4 linked regions of the Drosophila melanogaster genome follow. The protein of the gene in region 1 interacts with the protein of each later gene in a pairwise test. Each region holds a gene or a part of one and is shown in the gene's direction. Other genes may lie near its edges. The genes, in order: CG6126, Drsl5, Tsp42A and sordd2.

Region 1 (7,765 bases):
TTGAATTAATTTTGAATAAATAACCACAGCTGTCAACACGGTGACCATTTTGGGACGAGTTGGCGCCGATCCGCAGCTGCGTGGATCCCAGGAGCATCCGGTGGTCACCTTTTCGGTTGCTACACACACCAACTACAAGTAAGTGCATTTGTGTGCGTTTTGCCGCCCAGCATGCGTCTGCAACTGAACTTGAAATCACATCTCAGAGGAGGGAAATAAAAAAGCTACATAAATGTTGACAATTAAGTTAGTTCTTAGCCTTAACCTCCAAGAAAATATCACGTTGAGCTGCTAATTCAGATTTATGTAATGAGTTATTAGAACATTTGCTGTATGTAATTACCTAATGATAACGGCAATAGTGTACATTTCCTTGTTCAATTAACTTCAGTGATCAATTTCTTCTTAGGATCCATGAAATGCCGGATTTCATAAAGAAAATAGCTACCATTTCATTTAAAAAGCATTCATGAAGTCTTAAATATTTCCCCACAGATATGAGAACGGCGACTGGGCCCAACGCACCGACTGGCATCGTGTAGTGGTGTTCAAGCCCAATCTGCGTGACACCGTGCTGGAATACTTGAAGAAGGGACAGCGAACCATGGTGCAGGGAAAGATCACCTATGGAGAGATCACCGACCAGCAGGGCAACCAGAAGACTAGCACCAGTATCATAGCCGACGATGTGTTGTTTTTCCGTGATGCCAACAACTAAAATTTAAGCCCAGATCACCAAACCTAATCTTAAGCGAAAAGTTGAACTTGCAGCATTGTAAGCATTTATAATATTCGTTGGATATATTGTGTTATCAGATTACATGCGTAGTCGTACTCCACATGTGTCTTTTGGTTTTAACTCCTTGACCTTTTTGCATGGGAACGGTGCGTTGAATTGGCGTGCATGTTCGTTATAAAGCTGCTCGAACTCCTTTTGAACTTGTGTGACCTGGCTCTTCAATTTTTCGATATTTTTTTCCATAGACTCCAGTGTATTATTGTGGTAATCGATAAGCTTGGTTACCTGTTGATACACTCACTTTAGAAACTCTAAATACAACTTTTAGTCATCATTTCATACCAAATTTACGGAAGGTACTTTTGCGGATATCTGCTCATTATACGTCGCGACCTCCTCTTTGATCTGATTGCAATGATCGACTGTTTTTTTCGAAGACATCAGCATACTCAGCAAATCCTGATATGTGGTACTTGCCAAAGGAAACACTTGGCCTGCCAGACTCTCAGGACTCGGATAGCTCTGCTCCAATTTCGTAACTGCTTTCTCCGCCTGTATAAGGTTAATCTCGTTTTCATGCAGCTCCATTTCTACCCTAAGCATGGTGCACTTTACTGATCTCAGGGTATCATCGATGGGAAGTGCCTGTTGGAGTATGAAAAATTTATATCCTGTTTGCCTATGGCCATTGAGTCTCACATTTTTGGCATTGTCTAGGCAAATTTGTTCCTGTTCCTTAAGAAATTTTAACTTGGTATTGAAATCTGATTCCATTTCAAGGCTGTCCTGCATTAAAATATCCGCCAGCATATCCAAGTACAGGAATGTCGACGGATCTGATAAGTTTGGCTCACACATAATTTTAAAATTAACTTTAAATGAATTTTATGTATTTTTTGTATGTGTTTTTGTGACTTATGTTTTGTTTGTCACTGAGTGTTAGGCAAATCAAAGCTTGCTAAGGTATGAGTTTTCTGATCGTATTCTAATCTAAGGGATCCTTGCCAAGAGGCATCATTTATTTTCATACATCAAGGATTATAATGGTGATTACAGTTTTTGAAGCTCTTACCCTCGAGCAGAGTTTGCTCTTTAGTTCCCAACTTTGGAGACCTCCACAAGCTCTCTTCGCTCGCGAGCTTGGAGCGACCTTATCGCCATTTACCACTCAGTTTTCTCGCTGAGCGACACAGTTCGCAGTTAGTTTTTGCCAGTTCAAATGCTGCCGGCGGTCGGAAGAGTTGATAGCTGATCGAGCGCTCCGTTTGCGATTTTGTTTCACTCGAGCACGTTGTTTATCCCGGATTCGTTTTGCATCTTCGCGACCCGTAACTATCAGCAGTGCTGCACTGGTGTGCCATTCATACATGCTCCACTTCTGCAGAAGATGACGATTTGTTAAGAAGCAATAGCAAACAGTTACTTTCATTTATTTTTGATTATCAATAAAAAATCAAACATGGCTGTGGATTATGTACTGGAGGACCTGATGGGGAAACTTGGTGAGTGGAATGGGCTTTTGGGAGCGAAGACTTTTGAAAGGTCAGCTGTTACGTTGCCAGGCGTCTCCATCCCGTGCTGATAAGAGCCTGGCGTTATGCTTATCATTTTGAGAGGTCTTATCAGCGTTGCAAGCTACTATGGATAATATTTTGTTTCACGACGACCAATGAGGTTTACCGCCCAACCTTCTGTTCTGCTTTTAAAATCTATAATTAATTTTTCCGTATTATGCTTTTAATCTCCGCCTAATCTATCCGGCTGGCTGTCCGTCACGTCAAGTGCTCAAAAGAAGCCGACTATAATACTTTTTTAATTGCAACTATTTTCATTTTCATTTTGCACTATTCTTAATTTAATAAATCGTCGAGGCCACCAAGTGACAGACATTTATGACAGCTTGATAGAGACTCCGACCTGTTGCTCCCCTTTTGACTATATACCATACCAAGTATGTATTTATGTACACATATAGTCGACACATGTTCGTGTGGGCCAAGTTCTGAGCTGGAGGCTGTCTGACACTTGTTGAGCCTACTTGGCTTTAGCACAGTGACGCTAAAACGAGTGTGGCGGCTAACAGGCAAACAAAAATAAAACGGGTGCAAAAGGGGCGGTATCTGTCACAAGACTGTGAAGTAGGCTCGTCATAAAGATCTTGGGATCTACGGATATCTGGGTATTTGCTTATAATTTATTATATACTCTAATTGTGCGGTTCAAACATTGCAGCTAGCTTGTGGAAGCTACAAAATTAAGCGTGTTTATATGCAGTATGCAAAATAGTTAAGATTAATTGTGGGAATACAGTGGAAGATCGATGGATAAACAGTTTTATTTGTCACGGCTACAAATTAGAAATTTATGAGTCACATAAAATATGAGTTGGAATATAAAATTTGTGTCAACGATTGTGCTGAAATTGTCGTTAATTAAAATAGAACAGTTTTTTACAATCCGAAACTGGTTTTGTATTAAGCATTCGCAAAACCGCAGCCTATAAGAAAGTGACAGGAGAGAGGGAGTAATAATCGCATTAGCGACTTTTTTATTCGTAATATATTCGCATACATTTGTATCTGTGAAATGCAAAAAACCTTAAACTGGTTTGCTCACATTCAACTATATGGCAATACCTCCCTCAGCCATCAAAATTCACATATCGCTCTTTTATTTCTGTTTACTTTGTTGAAGGCCTATTGGCGAGCAGCAACTCTAATTACTTCGAATTTGGAGGCGTGTTGCATTGCTGAGTTGGTTGTTATTTGTACGTAAGAAGGTTACCATAAAACCAGCAACTTAAAATGACTTTGAGAGCACTTCCACACGTGCTATGTGGAGAGCACAGAACAGAACTAAATCGACCTTCAGTTGTTAGTAAACGCGGGAAGTGAAAATGTTGAAGTACGGATGAACAAAAACCGAAGGAAGCCTTAAAGTGGAGGTGTAAAACCATGATCTACCTCAATTATTCGAATCATGATACTTAAGCACAAAGGAAATTTTAAAAGCTTTGAAGAAATCAACTCTGAAATAAAGCAACAGTTGATAGTAGAATAACAGTAGATTAATATACATGTGCAATATTGTTAGAAATATGACTGCATTATTTTTTAATATTCCGTGTTCTTATCCATCTCACTTATCGCTCAAAAAGTTTGCCCAGAATAAACAACGGTCCAAACCTGCGCCATATTCATTTTAATGTGCAAACTGTTGGTTTTGTACATCATAATAGATGGCTTACGATTAAGAGAACAACAAACATTGACAGGGCCAAAAACAAATGTCGTATTCAAGGGCCACTTGGCAACAATTATACGGCTAGTTATATTGGACGGATGCAATAAATCTGAAGCAACAATATCACTGATATATGATCTAGCATTTGGTGGCCTCTGATAATCCGCTATGAGTTCCACATTAGTATTTACTATTACGAGTTTAGTTATCACAAATTTGGCCAATCGATTTCCTAGATTGTGCTCAATTATACGCTGATTATGTCTATTGGGGGCGTAATTGAATTTCATTAGGCGTAGAGTCAAATTTTATAATTGAGATTAATTAAGTCAACCCGATGACATAATTTTACACTTCACGCAATCGTTTTAATAATGAAAAATGAAAATTCTCAGACGTTTTACTCATGATTTGTCGATTGCAACGTAACCGGGGTGAACGTAACTTTTCATTTGATGGCAAGAGTTTCGTTTAAACGATCAATAAACGTAACCCACAAATCAATTGAAACGGCTGATTGAACATTGGACCGTGATCAAGTGTCAAATTCTCGTATCTAGGCTACATACTGTCCATGTCGTTAGAAATTTACACAGCCCCTGGCCTCCCATCAACGCGATCGCCATGGACTGACTGACCAGCCAAGTCATAATCGATTCAGTGCATTCTCCCAAGACATCCGAGTCTCTTTTCATGGCGTTCGAAACCAAAACCAAACCAAACCAAACTGTGGGCAAATATTTGACGGGCTAGGCGAATGCGCTTCAATTGAAATCGAATTGAATAAATTCCACTTGATTTAATTGCAAAGCCTTTGGAGTGACGACAATTCCAGCGATACCCATTAAAAGTTCCCATCTACATAAAAGTCGGCTGTTTCTTTGGGTTGTGTTTTTATCGCAGCTACGTGATGTTCAAATTCAAATACTGAAATAAAAAACCGTTTTAAATAATTTGAGCTAGAACAACTTCCGTTTTCAGCTCAACTTACTTTCTTTTTATTATATTTAATCGTAAACTGGGTGATTCATGGGTGCTACAGATTATCACTATCTATCATGTTGCTGAAAGCTCACATTTGTTGTGCGCTCATAACCTTTCCCAAGACATTAATGATTGTGAAATGTCTTTCTATTTTTTTCTATCCAATTGCAGGGGAGTTTGGAAAGTACCAGTTCCTGCAGTTCTTCCTGCAGGTGCTCTCCGGCCTGACCGCTGGCATGCACATGCTATCGCTGGTCACGGTGGCCGCCGTGCCTGAGCATCGCTGCTTCATCGAGGGCGTGGATAACAGCAGCTTGTCGGTGACACCATGGAACTCGAGCGCTATCCTGGCCGCCATTCCGCTGAAGCCCAATGGCGAGCTAGAGTCCTGCCTCATGTTCGATCCCAGTAGTCCTGGCACCAATACCACCATCAATTGCGAACGTTACGTATACGACACGACGTACTACAAGACTTCGCGCACCATCGACTGGAACTTTGTGTGCGATCGCCGCTGGATGGGAGCCATTGTGCAGACCGTGTTCATGCTGGGCGTGTTCACAGGCGCAGTCACCCTTGGCGGACTCGCCGACAAAGTGGGTCGGAAAACCGTGTTCTGCTGGTCGGCCCTGTTCCAATTGATCATCGGTGTGGGTGTGGCCTTCATTCCCGAGTACTTCTCATTCATGGTGGCTCGCTACCTGCTGGGCATTGTGGGATCAGCGGGTGCCTACATCTGTGGGTTCGTGCTGACCATGGAACTGGTGGGACCTACCAAGCGTACTGTGTGCGGCATTACCTTCCAGGTGAGGAAGACTTCAATAGATTTTGCATTTTTTAAACTGGCTATACCATGCAATACTTTTAGGCTGTTTTCGCTGGTGGCATCATGTTGGTGGCCGGATGGGGAGCACTCATCCCTGACCGCCAGTGGCTCCAAGTGATCTACGGACTGCATGGCTGTCTGTTCCTGGGCCACTGGTGGTGGCTCGATGAATCTCCGCGCTGGCTGTGGATGCAGGGACGTGCCGCCGAGGCGGTGGATATTGTGGCCAAGGGCCTGAGAATCAACGGATCGGGCATCCCGGTGGACAAGGAGTACTATGTGCAGAAAGCCAAACAGCAGGCGGCGGCCGAAGAAAAATCCAGCGCCGGATTGAGCGACCTCTTCCGCACGCCCAACTTGAGGATGAAGACTTTGAACGTGTGCCTCTGCTGGTTCGCCAATTCTCTGGTTTATTACGGACTATCGCTCAGTGCCGGCAAGCTGTATGGAAATCCCTACCTGATCCTGTTCATCATGGGCCTCGTGGAGTTCCCCAGCTACATAACCATTGTGTTCGTCCTAGATCGCCTGGGTCGTCGATCGATCACCTCCACCCTGATGTTGGGTGGCGGTCTATGCTGCATTGTGGCCGCCTACATTGCCCAGGGCAGCACCACCTCCACGGCGGTGGTAATGGCAGGAAAGCTCCTCATCGCCGGTTCCTTTGCCGTAATCTACAATTACTCAGCCGAACTGTTTCCCACCGTGGTGCGGAACTCGGCCATGGGATTGGGATCGATGTGTGCCCGTTTGTCGGGAGCCCTTACTCCGCTCATTACATTGCTGGACTCATTTGATCCGAAGATACCGGCCGTGCTGTTCGGCGTGGTGGCCCTGATCTCGGGCTTCTGGGTTATGTTCCTGCCGGAGACAATGAACCAGCCCATGCCCGAGTCCATTGAGGATGGAGAGAACTTCGGAAAGGGAGATACTTGGTTCAGTCAGTGTGCTGGTCGCAAAAAGCGCCAGAATAGCGTATATCCCGACGATCCGGAGCAAATGGTGCCGCTCAAGAACATCGAGAGCAAGTAGAACCTAGCCAAAGACGATTGTTTCCCAAGTCCAAAATCCAGCTTAAATTCCTTGTTACCCTGTGTTTTCTTGTTAAGAATTCTACTCTTCTGCCTAGTAGTAAGATTTAATAGTTTCTATTCATTCCAAGCGAATAAAACGATGTGCAGAATATGGGGAATCCTAATTTGTGGATTCACTCATTTCTGAGTGTCCCTTTGTTGTTTGTACGGATTTTTTCTTTTAATTTTTTCGGTGGTAAAATTTAGTTTAAAGGAAATTTAAATGCTTGACGAGCATTTTTACTGATTAGTGTTGTCTACTTTTAGGCTCTATCAATTTAGGCGCAGATTCATAGCTTGAATTTCAATTTTCTCTACGGTAAAACCAGTACACACCAAAAAATTATTTCCCAACTATTTCCAATTAAAGTTTATTCTCCGACCGACACAGCCAATTCGGGTTCGTCTGGCCTTGCAAAGTTTCAGTAATTTCCACTCAATTGCACTATCGAATTGCCAATTGCCGACAGGGATTTCCAATGTCAAATCCATAACCCATCGCTTCCCTTTGCTCCACATGATGTTTAACCCGCCAATTAAAGTTTGTTTAAAGAGAGAGTTTTGGTTTTTCGGTTTTTGTTTCTTGTTTGGTAATTCTTCATTTTGTTTTGTTTGGTACATTTGAGAACATTCATTTCGAATTTGAATATATTTTCAATTTAAATTTTAACTACACGTAGGCATATAGATTTATAAACGTATGTATGTGTATGCCGATATCTGATGCGATATCGTTACACGATTTCGCTGGCTTAGAATTACATTAACATTTACATAGATATAGTAGCTTTATATCTGGGATTTCGGATCGCGGTTCTCGGTAGCGCCTCTGTCAGCGATTTCCCGTCGAAGGTACACAGAGATATATGTAGATATTGTTAGCAGGTATTTGCGATGGCT
Region 2 (3,187 bases), on another chromosome or scaffold:
AAATGTGTATATTGAATATTTCATTCTAAACAAATAATATATAAATATAAAGGCCTCTTACGCTTATCACTCATACGCACTGTTGTCTTTTAATTTCCTGTATGGCAATGTGTTAGGAGAAGTGAATGTTTACATACATCATTAAATCGAAAAGATAGCAATTCTAGGTAAATAACTTATTATGATAACGATGCATTTTTAAATCAATGAAGTTGACACATGGCACACATAAATCAAGTGTTTCTGGAAAACTAGGATTATATCGGTTATTGTTAGCTTGAATTTCCGAGAAGCTTATCGATTGCTACGATCAAATAAAAAATCTTAAAATCTGTATCTCTATATAAGCGTCCCCACGAGTGGTCGATGCCAAAAGTCTTTAAGAACTCAAGTAAAATTCCCGACTCGTTGAAAACATCAGTTGTCATGGTGCAGATGATATTCCTGTTTGCTATCCTTGCTGTAATGACCATTGTCCTAATGGAGGCCAACACTGTTTTGGCACGTGATTGCCTATCTGGAACTTTCGGAGGTCCTTGCTGGGCCTGGAGTGGAGAAAAGTGCCGCCGTCTCTGCATTGAGGAGGGACATGTCAGTGGACACTGCAGTGGCGCAATGAAGTGCTGGTGCGAAGGATGCTAGATCCACTGCAGTTCAAAAGTGCATGCTGTTTTTTTGTTTATTCTGAGCCAATAATAAATATACTGTACACCGCACAGTAAAAGGCACGTAAGCATTGCCTTTCAGGAGTTATCTCTTGATTTGATTTAATATGTATGTGGTAAGTATATTAAACAAAAAGGTGCATCAACATCAAGAAGGTATAGCAATTCTATCATCCCAAAATAGCGATGCGCGTTTTGTCGCGTAAAAGGCCCAAAAGTATGCCTTTCGAAAGTTATATTGCAGTTATTTGCATTTTCACCTTTATGCTAATCGGTTAATATACAAATTCTGTACCTATATAAGAGTGCAGTCGGACTCAAGAAACTCAAAAGTAAAGATTTTAACCAGAAGAACATTCTAATAATGGCTCAAATTAAAGGATTGTTTGCTCTCCTCGCTGTGGTGACCATTGTCCTAATGGTGGCCAACTCGGCTTCGGCCGTGGATTGCCCATCTGGAAGATTCAGTGGTCCTTGCTGGGCCTGGGATGGAGAGCAGTGCCGTCGCCTCTGCAGGGAGGAAGGACGTGTCAGTGGACACTGCAGTGCCAGTCTGAAGTGCTGGTGCGAACAATGCTGAGGATCCTCATCGTCCAATATGTTTGACACATATGTGTGTCATATGTTTTTTATTGTTTTGAAAAGAAAAATAAAGAATATACTTCACAGCAAATAATACAGTTTTATTTCTACTTAAAGAACGAATCCTTTTAAAATCATAAATTTACTTCGAAAATGAGATTTATAATGGAATGGAAGAAATAATTAAATGATAAATAATCAGAGTTAACTTCAATAGAAAGCTAAAATTCATTTAGAAAGAAGTGGAATATATAATTCAACTCATAATAAGCATTTAAGAAAAAAAAAGCATAGACTATTTCAGTCTTAACAAGAGTTGGAAAGGCCATTTTCATTTATGAACACAAATCTTCATTTACCAGCACCCATATCACTTTATGGGAAATAAAGATAATCTTGTCATGTTAATATTTCCAACAAATTATCAACCGTGTTACATCGAAAAGTGCAAGTTTGGTGTTTGAATCCGGTTCTGGGTTTTCCTAACAAACTCGACAGTTTTACAATTTATGAATAAATTTAATTAATGAAACTGGTTTAATTAGTTTCCTAGAAGTCTCGTGATAAATGGCACATTGCATAAAATCAATGTCGGCAGATTATTAATAAGCCATTTTTAATTTTCCATTAGAAAAACTACGCATTCTTACTCAACTGCTAACTGAGAAGATGGCAGTGAAACTTTTTAAAAAGAAAACGAAATTTCATGCGACTTTTCTTAGACACTTACCGTAATGATCATTATCTCGAAAGAGAATACTTTTTGAAGTCAGTTTTCGTTGTCTTATCAGCCCTAAAGTATGCCCTTCCATGAAATACAATTCAATAATTATCTCCAATTATCTGCCAATCAATTCCAGAAATACGACGAAGCTGGCAGAGAGATCCCGATCCCTATATAAAGCGGTTGCTGGGGGTTTGGACTCATAAATCAAGTTCGAATTGTTCCGACAGCAGCACTCTGATTCAAAACCGACAACATGCAGATCAAGTTCCTGTACCTCTTCCTGGCTGTGATGACCATCTTCATCCTGGGCGCCAAGGAAGCCGATGCCGACTGTCTCTCTGGAAGATACGGAGGACCCTGCGCCGTCTGGGACAACGAGACCTGTCGTCGGGTGTGCAAGGAGGAAGGACGATCCAGTGGCCACTGCAGTCCCAGTCTGAAGTGCTGGTGCGAGGGATGCTAGGCCATCCTTCAAGGCGCGTTGCTCTAAATTGCCGGAAAACTACTAAATGTTATAGTTTGTTGATAACTATAAATAAATATTAAATATATTATTGCAACGCAAATGATTATTTCGTACTGGTTCAACTGTGATACTAACTATGTGATACTAAGGTATTTAAATGTACGTACAAAGGACGGATAAGGATTGTTCCTTAAAAATGTTAATATTAACTGATGACGTACTCGAAAAGGTTTTCTTCTATTCTTATTCATTACAAAATATATGAATAAGTACATATAAATATATTCTCAATTAAAACTAGCTAACACCTTAATTCTCTGACTTAGTCTGTGAAGTATTGAAAATTTAACGATATTTTAAAATAATTTGTTTTTATTCAGATTGTAACATGCTTCAAATACTGCTTAAGTTATTCTATTTATAGGATGAATAATTGCAGAAAATAGAGCGCTGCGTACAGCGATACTATATGATGTAATCTGGATTATTTATCTCTCAAGAATGCTTACTGAAACTGTGGAAGTAGCTTGCAGGACAGCATGCATTACATAGATAGGTAAAACGCAGAATACTAAAATAATTAAATCTCTGGTTAGACTAGGAACTTCTGGGAAACCCAAGGGCGTGCACTTAATACAGATGTCACTCATCCATATTCCATAGTCTATTATTAAAGCAATTGCTTCAATTTATTTGCGTTAGATAGGGTCAAATATATTCAATGTATGCTCATGCGAATGTTTAATT
Region 3 (3,988 bases), on another chromosome or scaffold:
TTAAGACATCGGTAGCACATTTATGGAAAATATAGAAAAAATAATAATAATATTAAAATATATTTATTTAAACCATTAGTGGGGAGTGCGAACGAGAAGTTTCAACATTTTTTAAAATATTTTGTAAATAGAAATTTGTGAGGAAACAAGAGAGAATGATCTAGTCGAGTTCCCCGACTATCAGATACCCGTTACTCAGCTAGTGTGATTGCAAACGCAAAAATGATATTGGGGAATAAAATTAGGAAAATTTTTCTCATTGGGCATTAAAGTGGGTGTGGCCAAAAAGTTGTTTGTCAAATCGGTTGAAATTAGTTAGATAAACAATAAAACGATAAAAGGGCAAAAAAAATTTTTTAAGTGTGAGGTTTGTTGACGTAAGGGGACAACACTTTTTTTTGGCAAATCGATAGAAATATGATAAGCTATCAAAGCATTTTTCATAAGTGTGGGCGTGGCAATTTTGGGTGATTTGTGGGCATTAGAGTGCGTGGCAACATGGGTCATCAAACTTGCGCTGCGTCTATGTCTCTAGAATCTGTACCTGCTTAACCTCAACCTTCTGGCATTTATGGTTCCAAAGATCTCGACCATATTATTGATCGGATCACTAGCCAAGTCAAACCATCCAAACTATCTGTCTGTCTCTATTTATGTTGTGATCTTGAAAACTATTGTATTAAAGCTGAAGACGTTTAGACTAAGCATACAGATTCTAATGACGCCAACGCTGTTCAAGTTTGTTTCCGAACGGTGTCATGCACAATTTTCCGTTGTTAACCGATTGCGATCAGTACTATGTATTGATTCGCTGCTAATGGAATGTACACGGTTTACGGTTCGTTTTAGTGTACCGGGGTACCAAGAGCTAAAAGTCCGGGAAAAGCCGAATGTCAAGAGTGAGACATTTGGAAACCCAAAGGCCGAGTCTGCTATTTTTTTAATGTATACATACCTGCACGTCCATATGCATACAATGGTTTTTATAGATGGAATTTGTAATTTAACAGTTTTAAGGGAGGAGCAAATAAAAGTATAGAAAGCCAAAGCGCAAGAAACGCGATTTATTGGTGGCATGGGATCACTTCAAAAAAACGTTTACAAATGCACGTGGACCAAGGAACTACTGCGATAAAGCTATAGAGTATTTCGATACCACACTATGTATCCGATGATACTACCATACCATATACACTCTGCAGCAGGAAATTCCCAATCGGTCAAATCATGAAGACTAATGAACTTATAACTTTAGCTTTTGAAAACATGTTGGATATTTTTTTTTAATTTTATTAGGCTTGTAAATTTCTATCGATGGGCCAAATATCTTTTTGTTACACCCACTCTAACTTCGTTTAATTGTTTGCCTTCCCAAATTTTATCGGTATACCAAAAACACTGGTCACGCCTCTCCCCCCACATTTTCCTAACGGTCCACTTTTTTAAACAATTTTTAAAATTTTTCTTTCTATCTATCGATATCCCAGAAAAATTATGAAATTTTGCGTTCGCATTCCCACTAGCTGAGTAACGGGTATCTGATAGTCGGGGAACTTGACTAAGCATTCTTTTTTGTTTTTCAAATACAGAGGTGGTCAAAAGTATTTACACAACGAACTATTTTTCAATTAGTTGACAATTCTTGTCAATTGAAAAAAAAGCACGTTGGGTAAATACTTTTGACCACCTCTGTATATAGTTAGGTAAGGATATTTCGCTTCGTCATGCTTTTTTTTTTGGTATATTCCTGTAAGCAGGGTTGACTTACGTCAAGTCACAAACATATTTTTCCCCTTTTTCGCGCCTCGTTCCGATTCTCGATAGGGCGCTATCTGCAACAGGTGCATAATTTCGTTTTCGAGAGAGGTAAACTCATTTGCACTTAAAGCCATGGCAACTAGTGTCATTGGTGGCAAAAGAGCTTGCAATCTAAATGTTTATATTACGAACTTGATTCGGGTCAAACTGGCTTAAATCAGCAGCGAAGCCAGGTGAAAATCGTCAGAACGACAGCAGGCAGAAGTCTCGTTACTTCAAAGTTAAACAACAGGAATTCGTGTTGCGCAACTGACGCGGCGCTTTCATCAACTGGAGCCTAACCCGGCGAAATGGCTAATCCGTTTCGCTGGTGTCGAGTGTCGCACGACTGCGTGTTCCAGATTAATGTGGTTCTGGTGGTGGTCGGAGTGATCTTTCTGCTTGACGTGCTCAGCCACCTTTATCTGAAGGCGGTCATGTTTCCAGGCCTTCGTCTATACCCGGTAGCCTTGCGCCCCTGGCTCTTTTGGGTGCGCGCTTTGACAATGGTTGCCTACATTTTGAACGCTGTTCTTGGGATTCACATGGCCCGACAACCCACCGTCTTGAAGTACGCTGGCTATATGCTCGTTGGAAGCGTGGTGTTGCTGTACACAATAAGCATCGGAGTGACTCGCTTCATGTACCGCAAAAGATTCGAGTTCTTTGCCGAGATGCTGGTGCTGCAGATGTGGGTGAGAGATAGACTTGGCAAGGTTGAAGTAGAGTTCGAGTGCTGCGGAAGGTCCAGCGTAGTTGACTACCAGACAGCATCGAGCAACCGCACCTGGCCCATTGGCTCTTGCTGCGGGAAGCAGAACTGCACCGGCTGCACTGCGAAGCTTAGCCAGTACCTGTGGACTATCGAGATGGATGTGGCAAGGGATAATATTATCGTATCCGTTCTCTTGTTTGTGGCGATGATCGTCATGGTTTTACACTTTAAAGATGTGCAATCGCTCGACGACACTAGTGATGTGGATGAGTCTTCAGAACTGGTAGACGACTCGGACGCCAAAGAATAAGCCCCATCCCATCTAGTCGTGCCGGTCCCAATTGCTTTTATATGGTCCCCCTCATTCAAGTACATAAATACTATTTTGAATGTGATATTACCCATGCCTTTAGGGCATATACAGTGTATATTTATTTTTTTGCGACAAAGGTAAATACACTGATTAGATCTGAAGCTATAAATTATGATCCTGAAATCTGAATTTCAGGTCGCCTGACCTAAACCGAAATGAAGGACTCAAGGTAGGTTAGGATGGTATTTTGCAACGCAATGTAAGTATATAGATAACATTTTGGCAGCAATATCGTAACAAAACCCAACATTTTTTCTAAGTTCTCATGAAAGGGCGTAAGAGTGGAGATAGGAAATCGATAGAAAGTGACAGTTCAAAATATTATAAAGAACAAGAGAGAATGCTGTAGTCGAGTTTCCCGACTATCAGTTACGTGTTACTCAGCTGGAAGTGGGAAGGAGAAATTTAAATTTTTTGGATTATCGGTAGAAATAGGGAAAAAATAGTAATAAATAATGAACAAAAATTCAAAATTGGTTTAAAAGTGTGGGCGTTTCAGAAATTTACAAGACTAATATAAATGTGAAAATATTTTTCAAAAGTGTGGGCTTTGCATTTTTGGGCGGTTTGATGATATGTATGCTAAATCTATTTTTATAGTGCCTGAGATCTCGACGTTCATACGGAGTACAATCCGGCGATCGACTCGGCGTTTGATCCTGATAAAGAATATATATACTTTATTCTACCTGTTACATACTTTTCAACGAATCTAGTATACCCTTTATCTCTACGAGTAATGAGTATAAAAATAAAATCGTTTCTCAAAAGTGTGTCCGCGGCAGTTTTGCGTGAAATCGCTAATAGAAGTCTTTATTTAGAGAATTCTAAAAAATTCCTATTTAAGCAAACATTTTGCAAATATATTGTTTGTGGGGGTCTCGTTTTAGGGAAGAACGGGGGTGCAGAGTATCCAATAAAGGACAAAAAAGGTATCCATCCACCTTAGTCCGTCTTAAATTTGTCAGCTATATTCATTTGCTTGGTAATGGTTATCACGGAGAAAGCAAACTTTGCCACCTAGTGATGGGGTAGAAAATGAGATACAATTCGAGGAGCATGTATTACAGTGGCGACCACTTACACTTATGTTGCTGCTCATG
Region 4 (4,917 bases), on another chromosome or scaffold:
GGAAAAACCACAAGATGTTTCGGAACCAACATCGCCTACCTGTTTTAATTCACAACTGAAAGAGAAGCAACAATTATACTGCACAAATATGAGCGAGCTAGCACCACATAAATACAGACAATAGTAATGCATTTGCTGAAAACAATCTATAATTAAACAAAAATTTGCGTACAGTCAAGTAAACAATTAACAATTAGAAGTGATTTTCTTTAAGCTTTGGCGGAGCCGAATACTTTTCCTTAACGTGAGCACGGTACTCCTCGTCATCATCGTGGCACTCCTTATAGCATAGAGTGCAAAAGAGTTCCCCACCACATCCGTGGCATCGGAAGTCGGCGTCTTCGTTACAAATATTGCACCAGGGCAATTCTTCGGTGTTGCCGGGCGACTCAGTGTTAATTGGACTAATTTCACTCTCGGAAGGTTCTGGTAAGCGCGATTCTGCTACATACTGAATGGGAATACGAAAGTGATGATTTGGCTTAAAAAAAATAATGCTACTATATAAATGCGAACCTTTTTCAATATGTTCTGTAGAAGTGTCTCGTCATCCTCTTCGTTGTCCGCGATACTTTCCATCTGGGATCTCGATGGGCATGCATCGGAATCGACGGGTGTATCGCGCAGAGCTCGCAGACGTCTCTCAATGTCGGAAATTGAGTCATCCCTCTGCCTGCTGATATTTTGATCCAGTTGGGCTTCGTCAACGAATTGTGCGAGCAAGTCCCTCATTTTCTCCTGATCGTTTCTTTGGTCGGTGGACAGTAGCAGATCTTTCTTATCGTAGCTTTTCGTATGCGGCATCCCAGTGAGATTGGCCAGACGGGTGCGGATCTCATCATCGGTGGCATCAACTCGTTTATAGTCCTGCATTCGTTTGGTCAACTCACTGTCCAGGTTCTCATCAATATGATCCTTGTGATCTTTGGAATGTGGTGACGAACTGGAACTGGGAACCAATGCCTGTGGCAGCTCCTCCACAGGCAGGCTGTCGCTGCAATTAATCGAATTATAGTTTCAGAATCGGTGTTTTAATGTGGTATTTTACTTACTTGAATAGGGCATCGGCGCCATCTGAACTTTTGGATGGAGGAGCCAGGTTCATTTTGGTGACTAAGATCCCCGGCAAAGCATCACAGTCTATAACTTTCTCGGCATCGGCGCTCGCCTGGAGTTTGGATAGTTTGTCGTAGCATATGAGGCACACATTGTGCACCTTTCCTGCATGACGGGGCACGGGCATTGGTCTCTTCAAGCACTTGGAGCAGAATGAGTAGCCGCAGTTGGGGCATCCATACTAAAATTTCGGATTTAACACAATGTAAGTAGGTGATATATGTTGGTTTGCTTTGGTTTGATGGCACTTGCCTCCTTGCAGAATAGGCCATATTTGCGACCGCAGCCAAAGCAGCTCATTGCAACCAGAGTCACCAATGGAACATATAAATTGAAAAAGTTTCAAATTTCGTTTGCTTTGTTTTGAAAGAAGCCAGTTCTAATTAGGGATGGTGTACAGTGTACAGTGGGTGAGCTATCGATTACGACTTAAACGCATTAGCGTTCTAAAAATCAGCTGTTCCTTGTTTTGGTTTAGTCTAATATCAATATTATTAAATTCTTGAGCTTTGTTGTGACCAGATCGTTAGGAACTAGAGATAGTCGAGTGAGTCCTGGTATCGATTGTCCATGGCACACAACAGCTGTTAATGAATAGTATTTAGTCTTGTAAATGTATTTAGTAGTTTATTTTGTTTACAAATCAATCGAGGACTGATCACTGATCACTTTTCAAATGATTCATTGAGATCCGAGATTTTTCACCTAACTCGATAGTTATCTAACGCGAGCGTGGACTTTGGTCCGGTGGAGACGGGCTGTTATACAGGCAGCTATTTACCGATAGGGTAAAGGTCTATCGGCCTCGGTCAGGTATCGTCAGTGCAATTGTTTTGAGGTGCTAAGACGTCAATTGATTGACTTGTCCACACAATCAATTTAGCAACATTCTCTGATTCGGTTTAACAATACTTAGCACGGCAAGTAGAAGCAAACAGTGAGCGAAAACAAACAATAAAATGAGGGCAAACAAGTCAGGTTTTGCAAACAATACACTTACAATGTAAGTAATTTTGAGAAGTTATACTATTTGCTGTGCCACAGGAAGTTATATATAGTTTAATTAAGTTATAATGCGTTTAAACGCAATCCCTGGAACTCGATGTATATGAGCATATAATTCCCCTTGACTCCAATAGGAAGTGCTCCATGAAAACATTATGTGACATCTATACGTACTGTATAAATAAGCATATAATCGGTTCCAATGTACATATGTAACAGGTAGATGGAAACCTTCTAGCCCTATATACACGCGAGTGTTTGAGTGTGTAGATGTGTACATAAGTACGCACATAAGTCCAGGTACATATGCAGGTATACCGTCTTGTTTGCCAACGCAATTCAAACAAAATTTGACTTTTTTGTTTAATTTATGTGGGTGCAGCCAATGGGAATGTTCGGTGCATTATCCTTGAAGACTTGGTGGTAAATACGCCCTTTGGGCGGTTTTCGTAGCCATAAACACCACCCCATGGGGTCGGACAAATGCTGAATGCTGCGGAACTCGGGGGAAACCCCCTTCAAACTGCGCTTGAAGTATTTAATTAAATTAAGTCATATTCAAGAAAGTGCGGACCTTAGTTGTACACCAGAAATGGCCTAGGAAAATCATCTAAGCAATCTAGGCACTTGTCAATAGGGTGAACACAGACTTACTTAGCAAATTTGGGTTTCTAAATCATCCAACGTTACGTTGCAGCTTGAACGACTAAAACTTTACCCGCATCTTGGGCAAACCATGGAGGAACCGAAAAGTGTATCCACAGCGGAGCTTCCCAGCACATCAACCGGGGCATCGTCGTCCTCATCGACTTTGTCCAACAACGTGAGCTACGACAAGATAGCCTGGACTCGGGATATCACAGAACCCTTGGCTGAGGAGTCATCTACAAGTCAATTGCGCCCGCTGGGTACCTCGATTCCAACCAATTCGACGGCATCGGAACTGAAGAAGTCCAACACTTCGTATTCCTTTACTGGAGACTATCTATCTGGTGGCAATAAGGCCGATCTGAAGGGTGGCTATCCATTCGGCGGCACCGATACGGACACAAAAGCCAACGAAAAGGACAAGGAGAAGGAACATACCGCAGACGACTCACTCTACGAGTGCAACATATGCCTGGACACCGCCAAGGATGCTGTGGTCAGCATGTGCGGCCATCTGTTCTGCTGGCCGTGCCTGCATCAGTGGCTCCTGACGCGTCCCAATCGCAAACTCTGTCCCGTTTGTAAGGCTGCCGTTGATAAGGATAAGGTCATACCGCTGTACGGAAGAAATAGTACACACCAGGAAGATCCACGGTAGGTTTGAACCGCTTTCAACATGAGTATTTTTCAATAACCCAACTTATATGTGTTTTGCAGTAACAAAGTTCCACCACGCCCCGCTGGACAACGTACAGAACCAGATCCTGTTCCCGGGTTCCCTGGATTCGGATTCGGCGACGGATTTCACATGTCTTTCGGTATTGGAGCTTTTCCTTTCGGGTTCATAACATCTAGGCTCAACTTTTTCGAACCACGTCCACCTGGTAGGTTACATGCCATCTCAATAGTTCTGAGATTGACATTAAATAACATTTGCCCATGTATTTAGCTGATATTAGAAGGCTACACGAAGATGAACCCTGGGCCCTGTCAAAACTGTTCTGGCATTTTGTCGTTTTTGTGATATATGGGCTGCTCGTTCCAATAGTGCACGGATCATCCCGATAAGAAGAACCTATATTCAAATGTCAATGGAAAGCGTGCGAAGTAATCAAATAGCAGTATCCTCCAGTTAAATCAACAATATTGTTAAACTCGTTGGGCTATAGTCGTTGGTGTGATTAATTAACATAAATTGTTAGCATTCGGTTATAATTGTAATTTGAGGATTCGCAAAACAGAAGTGGATTGGGTCCCAAATTATTTCAAAAAGTCTGCAATACCCTACGACTTCAGCATAAAAAACTGAAATTTCGAAATAATTGGATCGTAATGATTTAATTCAAATGTAGATTTCAAAAATTGTATAAATTTATATTTTAAATTCTATAAAACATTAAAAACATTTATTTTAATTTATTTTCCGTGTAGATTATTATCGATGGGTGAAAAAAATCATTAAGTTTTTGCTTAACTTAAACTGCACAACATTCTTTTTAGGGATCAGGGATAACGTGAATTTCGAAGATGCTGAGGATATGGATGCATGTATGTACATGAAGATATCGGCTTATCTTGAGTATGAGATGTATGATATATGTACCTTCTACCGATCGCTCTAGAAGATCGCCTCCTTTAAGTGGGCCAGTTTGTTGGCAATGGAGGGGGACGCCTCATCACTGGCTCCATAATTGGCTGTGGTGATGCGCTCCACCTCCTGGGAATTGCCGATAAAGGATTCTGCTCCGTGCCAAGAAGCTCACTGCAACCAGAGTCACCAATGGAACATATAAATTGAAAAAGTTTTAAATTTCGTTTGCTTTGTTTTGAAAGAAGCCAGTTCTAATTAGGGATGGTCACGTGATTTCTGCACAGTGGGTGAGCTATCGATTACGACTTAAACGTTTATAGATGCATTAGCGTTGTACAAATCAGCTGTTCCTTGTTTTGGTTTAGTCTAATATCAATAAAATTATTGAATTCTTGACCTTTGTTGTGACCAGATCGTTAGGAACTAGAGATAGTCGAGTGAGTCCTGCTATCGATTGTCCATGGCACACAACAGCTGCTTATGAATAGTATTTAGTCTTGTAAATGTATTTAGTAGTTTATTTTGTTTACAAATCAATCGAGGACTGATCACTGATC

Evidence for each region.
Region 2: the proteins of CG6126 (region 1) and Drsl5 interact in a two-hybrid assay, tested with the Drosophila melanogaster proteins (one large-scale study listed by BioGRID).
Region 3: the proteins of CG6126 (region 1) and Tsp42A interact in a two-hybrid assay, tested with the Drosophila melanogaster proteins (one large-scale study listed by BioGRID).
Region 4: the proteins of CG6126 (region 1) and sordd2 interact in a two-hybrid assay, tested with the Drosophila melanogaster proteins (one large-scale study listed by BioGRID).

The regions. Positions count from the first base shown.
Region 1 is NT_033777.3:16,197,267-16,205,031, reverse strand, and holds CG6126 (uncharacterized protein), read left to right. Parts: upstream 1-1,948; 5' UTR 1,949-2,198; coding exon 2,199-2,241; intron 2,242-5,137; coding exon 5,138-5,772; intron 5,773-5,834; coding exon 5,835-6,824; 3' UTR 6,825-7,032; downstream 7,033-7,765. Other genes in the region: mtSSB (mitochondrial single stranded DNA-binding protein), read left to right, coding at 30-138, 496-718; CG31287 (uncharacterized protein), read right to left, coding at 818-1,024, 1,082-1,384, 1,439-1,597.
Region 2 is NT_037436.4:3,314,608-3,317,794, forward strand, and holds Drsl5 (Drosomycin-like 5), read left to right. Parts: upstream 1-2,173; 5' UTR 2,174-2,227; coding exon 2,228-2,437; 3' UTR 2,438-2,537; downstream 2,538-3,187. Other genes in the region: Drsl3 (Drosomycin-like 3), read left to right, coding at 427-642; Drsl4 (Drosomycin-like 4), read left to right, coding at 1,030-1,245.
Region 3 is NT_033778.4:5,793,365-5,797,352, forward strand, and holds Tsp42A (tetraspanin 42A), read left to right. Parts: upstream 1-2,048; 5' UTR 2,049-2,108; coding exon 2,109-2,822; 3' UTR 2,823-2,962; exon of another isoform or gene 2,963-2,984; intron 2,985-3,020; 3' UTR 3,021-3,084; intron 3,085-3,145; 3' UTR 3,146-3,346; downstream 3,347-3,988. Other genes in the region: Or42b (odorant receptor 42b), read right to left, coding at 3,831-3,905, 3,970-3,988.
Region 4 is NC_004354.4:15,796,173-15,801,089, reverse strand, and holds sordd2 (suppression of retinal degeneration disease 1 upon overexpression 2), read left to right. Parts: upstream 1-1,927; 5' UTR 1,928-2,119; intron 2,120-2,818; 5' UTR 2,819-2,857; coding exon 2,858-3,423; intron 3,424-3,486; coding exon 3,487-3,653; intron 3,654-3,718; coding exon 3,719-3,837; 3' UTR 3,838-4,182; downstream 4,183-4,917. Other genes in the region: CG15602 (uncharacterized protein), read right to left, coding at 194-451, 517-994, 1,053-1,297, 1,369-1,416.